Macaca mulatta: one gene and its partner. The protein of the gene in region 1 interacts with the protein of each later gene in a pairwise test. Links are inferred from orthologs where the notes say so. Each region holds a gene or a part of one and is shown on either strand. Other genes may lie near its edges.

Region 1 (4,528 bases):
AACTCCTGAGCTCAGGCAATTCACTCGCCTCAGCCTTCCAAAGTGCTGGGATTACAGGCGTGAGCCACTGTGCCCAGCCCAGTGGCCGTTCTTTTTTTTTTTTTTTTTTTTTTTGAGACAGCAGGATGTTGCTCTGTCACCTGGCTGGAGTGCAATGGCATGATCTTTGCTCACGACAGTCTCTGCCTCCCAGGTTCAAGCGATTCCCGTCTCAGCCTCCTGAGTAGCTGGGACTACAGGCACGTGCCACCATGCCTAGCTAATTTTTTGTGTTTTATTGGAGATGGGGTTTTACCATGTTGGCCAGGATGGTCTCGATCTCCTGACCTCGTGATCCGCCCGCCTTGGCTCCCCAGAGTGCTGGGATTACAGGCGTGAGCCACTGTGCCTGGCCTTTTTTTCCCCCCCAAGATAGAGTCTTGCCCTGTCACTGAGAGCTGGAGTACAGTGGCAGTCTCGGCTCACTGCAACCTCCGCCTCCCGGGTTCAAGCAATTCTCCTGCCTCAGCCTCCCGAGTAGCTGAGATTATAGGTGCACGCTACCATGCCCGGCTGATTTTTGTATTTTTAGTAGAGACGGGGTTTCACCGTGTTGACCAGGCAGGTCTTAAACTCCTGACCTTGTGATCAACCCGTCTCAACTTCCCAAAGTGATGGGATTACAGGCGTGAGCCAGTGGTGGTTCTTTTCAACGAATTCCTGTCAAGATTGTCTTCATGCAGTGAAAACTTTTTATTTGAGCAACTGGGGACCAGGGGAAACCACAGATTTTCTTTCTTTTTTTTTTTTTTTTTTTTTTTTTTTTTTTTTTTTTTGAGACGGAGTCTCGCTCTGTCGCCCAGGCTGGAGTGCAGTGGCCGGATCTCAGCTCACTGCAAGCTCCGCCTCCCGGGTTCACGCCATTCTCCTGCCTCAGCCTCCCGAGTAGCTGGGACTACAGGCGCCCGCCACCTCGCCCGGCTATTTTTTTGTATTTCTTAGTAGAGACGGGGTTTCACCGTGTTAGCCAGGATGGTCTCGATCTCCTGACCTCGTGATCCGCCCATCTCGGCCTCCCAAAGTGCTGGGATTACAGGCTTGAGCCACCGCGCCCGGCCAGATTTTCTTTCTTTATAGATCCCCCCTGGGACTCAGACAGACCAGAAGATTCGGATGGGTGGGAAAGGCATCCCCCGGATTAACAGCTACGGCTACGGAGACCACTACATCCACATCAAGATACGAGTTCCAAAGTAAGTGCCCCCTAGGCCGTGTCTAAGCCAGCCTGCTCCTGCGGTGGCATTGCTCCGGGAGCTCTGTGGCTTGGGCAGGGGACTGCTCCCTATAGGTCAGGTGGTTCCTGCCCGAGTTCTCTGTCTGTAAAGTGGGTGTAATAGAATGGTACACTTCTTTTTTTTTTTTTTTTTTTTGAGATGGAGTCTCGCTGTGTCCCTCAGGCTGGAGTGCAGTGGCGCCATCTCAGCTCACTGCAACCTCCGCTTCCTGGGTTCAAGCAATTCTCCTGCCTCAGCCTCCCGAGTAGCTGGGATTACAGGTGCCCGCCACCACACCCTGCTAATTTTTTGTATTTTTAGTAGAGACGGGGTTTCACCGTGTTAGCCAGGATGGCTTCAATCTCCTGACCTAGTGATCCGCCCACCTCAGCCTCCCAGAGTGTTGGGATTACAGGCGTGAGCCACCGCGCCCGGCCGGTATGGTCGACTTCTTGGAGTTGCTGGGAGAATTAAATGAACAACACATAGGAATTGCTTCGCTGCTGCTGCTATTGTTGAGTTTCTTCTTTTTTTTTTCTTTTTTTTTTTTTTTTTTTGAGACGGAGTCTCACTCTGTAGCCCAGGCTGGAGTGCAGTGGCGCGATCTTGGCTCACTGCAAGCTCCGACTCCCAGGTTCACGCCATTCTCCTGCCTCAGCCTCTGGGACTGTAGGTGCCTGCCACCACGCCTGGCTAATGTTTGTATTTTTAGTAGAGACGGGGTTTCTCTATGTTGTTCAGGCCGGTCTTGAACTCCTGACCTCTTGATCCACCTGCCTCGGCCTCCCAAAGTGCTGGGATTACAGGTATGAGCCACCGTGCCCGACCTTTTTTTGAGGAGTCTCTCGCTCTGTTGCCCAGGCTGGAGTGTGGTGTGCCATCTCAGCTCATTGCAACCTCCTCCTCCCTGGTTCAAGTGATTCTCATGCCTCAGCCTCCCGAGTTGCTGGGACTACAGGTGCCTACCACCACGCCCAGATAATTTTTATATTTTTAGTAGAGATGGAGTTTCACTGGCCAGGCTGGTCTCGAACTCCTGATCTCAGGTGATCTGCCCACCTTGTCCTCCCAAAGTGCTGGGATTACAGGTATGAGCCAGCATGCCTGGCCCGTTGATTTTCTCATTGATGTTACTGGCACTGTTAGGAGCTGGAGAGGCAGCCTGGGCGGAGTGCTGTGAGTACCTAGGGCAGGACATGCCTGACTCCCCTCGGGAGCACTCGTGCTTTTTGTTAATTAGATAATTTCTTTTCTTTTTTTCTTTTTCTTTTTTTTTTTTGAGACAGAGTCCAGCTCTGTCTCCAGGTGGAGTTCAGTGGTGCAATTACGGCTCACTGCAGCCTCCACCTCCCAAGTTCAAGCAATTCTGCCTCAGCCTCCCAAGTAGCTGGGAATACAGGGACGCACTGCCACGCCCAGCTAATTTTTGTAGTAGAGACGGGGTTTCACCTTGTTGACCAGGATGGTCTCTATTTCCTGACCTTGTGATCTGCCCGCCTTGGCCTCCCAAAGTGCTGGGATTACAGGCATGAGCCACCATGCGTGGCGTAATTAGATAATTTCTTACCTGCTTCACACACACACTTGTAAAATCTGTTTCCCCTCCTGTAAACTGTATTTAGCATAGCCACAGCGACACTTGTTTAAACGACTTAGGGTGTTTTATTAGCTTTTCTGTACAGAAGATTTGAGGGCGTGGTCCTTAGGTTCTTACCACTGCACTGCCTCAGGGTTTCTGCCCCTGCCAGGGTTGGGTCCCTCTCCTCCTATGCGCTTCGAGAGCACTGGCTGCCTGTGAGTTCTTTCCAAAGCTTCCTGGCGGAAGCCTTTGCTGCTAACTCTGCTTGATCCACAGGAGGCTAACGAGCCGGCAGCAGAACCTGATCCTGAGCTACGCCGAGGATGAGACAGATGTGGAGGGGACAGTGAATGGCGTCACACTCACCACCTCTGGTAAGGGGTCTGAAGACTACGCGGCGACACGTGGGGACCTCAGAGCCCCCTGGAGTGTGGACAATTCAGGGCAGCATGTTGGGGTTTCCACTTGGGGTTCTTCATGAAGCCTTTAAAATGTGCAGTTGAAAGAGGGGGGCTGTGGGCGGGAACACTGGGCAGGGAGCCGCAGCCCCCAGTCCAAGCTTCGCCTCCTCTCTCTGTGCGTGTTCGTGTGCTGAGGTGAGAGCACCAGGGCACTTCCTGCAGGCAGCTGTGCGTGTCTCAGACCCAGTGTTCTGAGTTCTATCCTTGGTTCTGCCACTTGCCCTGTGACCTCGGACAAATCCTTCCCTGAGACCTCCTGGCAAAAGCGTAAGGAGAGCATGGATTGGAAGGATTTGTGCACTTCCCACCAGGGACACTCCGCTAGGATTTCAGAGTGTCTTACAAACAATAGCAGCCACAGTAGTGGAGCCACAGTCAGAGGACTCAGTTCGCTGTTTTAGAGCAGGACTCACTCCGAATTCATCTAGCCATGAACAGATGCACCATTTACCCTGACCTCAGACATTGTGCTAGTGAGTGGCTGAGTGTCAGCGATCTGTCACCAGAACACCTGCTGTGGGCACTGTGGCAGTGGCACCCCAGCTACAGCCCCTCTTCTTGTGGGAGGTGGGGCCTCTGTTTCCTGGGATTCCTGCTCATGGCAGGGCAGGCTGTGCCCAGGGGGTCCTTGGTTCAGGCTCAACGTATTTCCTCATTGCATCATTTTGGTTTTGTTTGGATCCTGGGTGGAGTTCTCAGAACTTGCGTGGCCTTAAATTAGTGCATGGTAATTCGTAGCAGGTGTTTGGAGCTGGGGGCAGATTTTCCAAAAAAGTGGAGGATTTGGAGTTCCAGGGCCGGGGCAGGGGCTGGGATGGAAGTCCCTGGAATTTCACTGAGCTCTTGTTGCTCCTAGGGTACTGGAAGTCCTCTCTTAAAAAGCAGCTGCTGGCTGGGCGCAGTGGCTCTCGCATGTAATCCCAGCACATTGGGAGGCCGAGGCAGGTGGATCAGTTGAGGTCAGGAGTTTGAGACCAGCCTGGACAACATGGCGATACCCCGTCCCTACTAAAAATGCAAACACGCCGGGCGCGGTGGCTCAAGCCTGTAATCCCAGCACTTTGGGAGGCCGAGACGGGTGGATCACGAGGTCAGGAGATCGAGACCATCCTGGCTAATACGGTGAAACCCCGTCTCTACTAAAAAAATACAAAAAACTAGCCGGGCGAGGTGGCGGGCGCCTGTAGTCCCAGCTACTCGGGAGGCTGAGGCAGGAGAATGGCGGGAACCCGGGA
Region 2 (5,099 bases), on another chromosome or scaffold:
CATCCCCCAAAAGGAAGTGCAAACGAGTTCTTAAGTACTCCAACAAATTGGACCTAAACCCCTACTTCCCGGCTTCTCTAGGTGGGATAAAAACAGGAAGGGGTAGGCCGGGCGCGGTGGCTCAAGCCTGTAATCCCAGCACTTTGGGAGGCCGAGACGGGCGGATCACGAGGTCAGGAGATCGAGACCATCCTGGCTAACACGGTGAAACCCCGTCTCTACTAAAAAATACAAAAAACTAGCCGGGCGAGGTGGCGGGCGCCTGTAGTCCCAACTACTCGGGAGGCTGAGGCAGGAGAATGGCGTGAACCCGGGAGGCGGAGCTTGCAGTGAGCTGAGATCCGGCCACTGCACTCCAGCCTGGGCGGCAGAGCGAGACTCCGTCTCAAAAAAAAAAAAAAAAAAAAAAAAAAAAAAAAAAAAACAGGAAGGGGCTCCCCGCGATCATGCAAGGCATACCCGGCCTTTTCCCTCTCGGCCCCAGCCCCGTTTCGGATCTACCAGCGGGGTGCAGTCTCCGAGTAGCCTCCTCTTCAAGCAGTGCCAGCCTGTGCCGCGGGTCCCGGGACCCCCTGGGCTCCTCGGCTGGAGCCGATACTGCTGCAGCTGTTTGACAGCCAGGAAGCCGGGGCCAGGAGGGGCGCGGCCTCGGCGCGCGGGCAGCGCCTACCCCTCCTTCGGAATTCCCGGGCCCGAACTTCGCGCCGAGCGAGCCCGCCCCCGTGCCGTTTCTGATTGGCCAGCTCATTTGCTCTCTTCCGCGCCATTGGACGGCTCCCTAAGATCTCCCGCCTTCCGCTTTTTCTGATTAGTTCACAAGTTTTCCCGGGTTCCCGCAGTGGGGAGGAGCCGCCTGGGCGCGGAGATGCGTCGACACATTCTGTGGGCCCAGATTTAGACGCCACTGCGCCTGCGTACACCTTTCCTCCTCCCTACAGTGAGGTAGGACCTTAGGGCGCCCGCCTTGCGCAGGCGCGGTCAGAGGCCGAGGCAGAGGCGGGGCCCGGAGCGAGGCGTAGGGGGTGTGGTCAAGGCGCAGTAGGGGTTCTCGCGGTGGGTAAGGGACGTTCGGGAAGAGTCGGTTGTGGGCGGGAAGGGGCTGAGCGGGGGTGCTGGGAGGGTTCAAGGGGTCCAAAGGGGAAGGGGGAACAGGGGCCAGGTGAAGGGGTAGATGAGGAGATCAGAACAGCCTTAGAGCTCAGGGGCCAACTGGGTGAACAGCCTTGGGTATCTAGGGGAGCAGTGGGGGGAGAGCAGAGCCGGCTAGCGTACAGGGGGCGAGAGCAGACTATTGAGAGATGGGGGTGAGGGTGAGGACCAGAACAATTCCTTCAGAAAAAAGTAGATTAGGATGTAAAAAGGGACCGGAGTAGGGATCCCAGATTCGGGTAAAAAATAGATTAATGAGGGTGGGAGGGTGGGGGGAAGGTCTTAAAGTGCCCACTATGTGTTAGGACTCGAGAAAGAGGAGGCGGGCGGCAGGCATGGAAGCTGAGGGGATAGTAGAGAGAAGCTGAGAGGACAGCCGCAGGAAAGATTTGGATGAGATGTCAGGACGCTGGCTTTTCTGCCTGGGGATCTAGGCTGCTTGGATTCCCAAGGTCTTGGGAAGGGTCTAGCCCTGCATGTGGCCACATTCAGCTGGGGCCAGGCCTTGGGCCAGCACTTTAATAGGGAAGGACCCAAGAGTCATGGCCTGGTGGTGTCTGGATGGGATTCCCCCAGGCCTTGCTGAGCCATGGAGAGAACTCTGGAGATGGCGCTCAAGACCCCTGCACTGTGTACCTCCTTTCTCACCTCTGGCCAGGGGCAGCAGGGACCATAGAAACTTAAGGAGGAGGGTAAAGGCACTGCCCAGAATCCTGAAAGTATGAGTAAAGCCTCAGAGCCCCTCTCGGTCTGTCTTTTTCAGTAAATTCTCTCCACTTGATAGTTAGTTGCCTGGGTTCCCTGAGGAACCAGGTTGAGACAAGCAAGTGAATTTGGGGTATCTCCTACTTCTTTGGGGAAGTAGGAAAAGAGCTGAGCATCGGGTGGACCTGGCTGTAATTCAAGGATTATGACTTTGTTATTGTAGGGGCTTTCTCTTTGGAAGGTGGCCTGAAAATTGAATTGGAGTGTCTTTGTTTCTCCTATTGTCCAGGGGAACATAGATGGCTGGAGACAGAATCTAGAGCCTTCAAATAATGTGGAGATGTTTCCACCTTCAGGTCAGTGGGACCAGACAAGGGGAGTGGTGGTTGTCTCTGCCTGGGAAACTGACCATCTTTGATTTTGTAATTCTTCAGGTTCCACTGGGCTGATTCCTCCCTCCCATTTTCAAGCTCGGCCCCTTTCAACTCTGCCGAGAATGGCTCCCACCTGGCTCTCAGACATTCCCCTGGTCCAACCCCCAGGCCATCAAGATGTCTCAGAGAGGCGACTAGACACCCAGAGACCTCAAGTGACCATGTGGAAACAGGATGTTTCCAGTGACAGGCAGGAGCCAGGGCGGAGAGGCAGGTAGGGATCCATCCTCGCTGTTTTCTCAGGCTGGCTTGCTAGTGACCCTTCTTCACTGGAATAAACTCCTTACCCTATTTCGGCCCTAGTTTCCAGAACCTACTCATTTTTATGCAAGCAATTATTAGTTCCTGCAGTGCTTAGATAATAAAGCAGTGTGCTAGGTGCTAGGGATGAGGATAACAATAATGAATAAGACAAATCCTGACTTAAATTTGTAATTAATAAGGAATCTAAAATCTTAAGAGGGGAGATAGATTGACCATCAACTGATGGTAAAGCATAGTATGAGGCAAGATGAAGAAGTGCAAACTAGAAGTAGAGACCCAGCACTGTGGCAGTGTGGGTTCATTCTGATGGAAGAAAGCCTTTACAGAGGACATGCTATGGGAGCTGGCCATGCTGTCGTATTGTCTGTAAACATTCTTATTCTTGTTGTTTCATGTGTCTTCCCAGATGTACTGGGATAGCATTCTGCCATTTTGCTCTAGAGTAGGATTACATTAGAAGCAGCAGCACAATGAAGAAGAAGGAGCACTAGACTGGGTGTCAGGAGACAGAGACTCTATTTCTAGTTTGGCTACCAGCTAGAGGACATTTGGCAAGTCAATTTCCCTAGCCTACAGATCCCTGATACTTAAAGAAAGAAAGAAAATAAAGAAAAGGCCAGGTATGGTGGCTCACACCTATACTCCTAGCACTTTGGGAGCTGAGGCAGGAGAATCACTTGAGCCCAGGAGTTCAAGACCAGCCCGGGCAACAAAGCGAGACTTCGTCTCCACAGAAAATAATTAGCTAGCTGTGGTGACATGCATTTGTAGTCCCAGCTACTCGGGAGGCTAAGGTGGTAGGATCACTTGAGCTCAGGAGTTGAAGGCTGCAGTGACCTATGATCCAGCCACTGCATTGAGGCCTGGGTGACACAGTGATACCCTGTCTCTAAAAACAACAACAACAATCTCCTGTGGTCCTGGGTGTCAGAGAGACAGCTGCCTCAGGAGCCACGTTCCAAGCTAGATTAAACTTCACATGATATTGGTAGACAATGTCTCCAAAGGCTGGCACTATGTTATTTATGTACTGTTCTCTCAGACTCCTCATAAAGTATACCTAACACTCAATAAATGCATTTTAACTAGCACCTGGCCTCACCATATTGATACTGGAAGCTCAGCTCTCTCTATGCCCATTCCTCCCTCAAACTTCTTGCCCTTAAATCAGAATTGAGAAGTCTCTGTTCTTCCAACCTTTCCACTTAAAATGTGTGGCCTAAAAATAAAAAATAAATAAGACAAAAAAACACCAAAAAACAAAAAGAATGTGTGGCCTAATGATATACACATTTGATGTTGAATCTGTCTGTATGTAGCTCTCTCTAGGGAGATCATGTTCCATCATCTCAGCCAGACTTTAGGTCCTGTGAGTCCAGGCACTGGACTTAACATGCTCAATAGGGCTTTGATGAATGATGATGATGTCAATGCAGACATCCCCATACCCCAGCTTCAGCACCCCCTTCACCTCCTCACACGGGGGCAGAGAGGTCCTCTTTTCCTTCTGGCTATGTTTACACCCTCAACTATCCTTCCAGCACTGGAGACAAGTCTCACCTGCACTAACCTGTCTTTGAAGGTCCTGGGAGCTGGAGGGGTCACAGGCCCTGAGCCAGCAGGCTGAGGTGATCGCTCGGCAGTTGCAAGAACTGCGGCGGCTGGAGGAGGAGGTCCGGCTCCTGCGGGAGACCTCACTGCAGCAGAAGATGAGGCTAGAGGCCCAGGCCATGGAGCTGGAGGCCCTGGCACAGGCAGAGAAGGCCGGCCGAGCTGAGGCTGAGGGCCTGCGTGCTGCTTTGGCTGGGGCTGAGGTCGTCCGGAAGAACTTGGAAGAGGGGAGCCAGCGCGAGCTGGAAGAGGTTCAGAGGCTGCACCAAGAGCAGGTGAATGCAGGGGTGGGAAGGATTTAAATTCATAACGGAGAGCTGGGCAGTAGCTTCCAAGCAAAGAACAGGTATTGCAGAAGAGACTCTCCATGAGTAGTGAGTAGTGGAGTGATGAGACCTTTGGTGAAAAGAAACACACATGGCCTAGAAAGATGGAGAATTTGGTTATTTTGATCTTAATTCAGGTTGCACTTTTTCCCCAAGACTCAGGTGGCCTCCCACGACTTGAAGCCCTGCTTCCTTTTCTAGTAGGAAGTAGTTTGCCTCCCTGCTTTACTCTGGGTACCAATTCATCGGGGGTATTGTGGAGGGCAGTGAGGAAGGTGGATATAAGGGGGCTATGGTGGACTGGGAGAGAGAGATTATTCAGTCCGCAAACTCAGTGCTTACTCTTTGCCATCTCAGACTCAGTGACCAAATTAGCCTGAATCCTGCCTTCATGGATGGAACTGACAGCCTCATGGGGGATACACACATCCACTTTTAATTTAATCATAATTAATTGCAATCAGGAGGAGTGCCTTGAAGGCGAAGGACTAGAGAGCACTAACTTAGTCTGGGGTTCAGGGAAGGCCACTGTAACCAATTGGACATGTCAAGGAAAGAAACCATAAGGCCGGGTGCAGTGGCTCACGCCTGTAATCCCAGCATTTTGGGA

Evidence for each region.
Region 2: the proteins of DNAJA3 (region 1) and TCF19 interact in a two-hybrid assay, tested with the Homo sapiens proteins (2 studies listed by BioGRID and IntAct). The two-hybrid records come from large-scale screens. The link is inferred for Macaca mulatta from reciprocal best matches to the Homo sapiens genes DNAJA3 and TCF19.

What each region holds. Positions count from the first base shown.
Region 1 is NC_133425.1:5,699,382-5,703,909, forward strand, and holds part of DNAJA3 (dnaJ homolog subfamily A member 3, mitochondrial), read left to right. Parts: intron 1-842; exon of another isoform or gene 843-1,116; coding exon 1,117-1,232; intron 1,233-3,108; coding exon 3,109-3,206; exon of another isoform or gene 3,207-4,349; intron 4,350-4,528. UniProt on the Homo sapiens protein: Modulates apoptotic signal transduction or effector structures within the mitochondrial matrix. Affect cytochrome C release from the mitochondria and caspase 3 activation, but not caspase 8 activation.
Region 2 is NC_133409.1:151,906,746-151,911,844, forward strand, and holds the start of TCF19 (transcription factor 19), read right to left. Parts: upstream 3,243-5,099; 5' UTR 3,213-3,242; intron 2,503-3,212; coding exon of another isoform or gene 2,289-2,502; intron 2,211-2,288; coding exon of another isoform or gene 2,144-2,210; exon of another isoform or gene 2,078-2,143; intron 1,869-2,077; exon of another isoform or gene 1,842-1,868; coding exon of another isoform or gene 1,626-1,841; exon of another isoform or gene 1,080-1,625; intron 1,058-1,079; exon of another isoform or gene 833-1,057; intron 752-832; exon of another isoform or gene 287-751; 5' UTR 1-286. Other genes in the region: CCHCR1 (coiled-coil alpha-helical rod protein 1), read left to right, coding at 1,626-1,841, 2,144-2,210, 2,289-2,502, 4,135-4,438. UniProt on the Homo sapiens protein: Potential transcription factor that may play a role in the regulation of genes involved in cell cycle G1/S transition. May bind to regulatory elements of genes, including the promoter of the transcription factor FOXO1.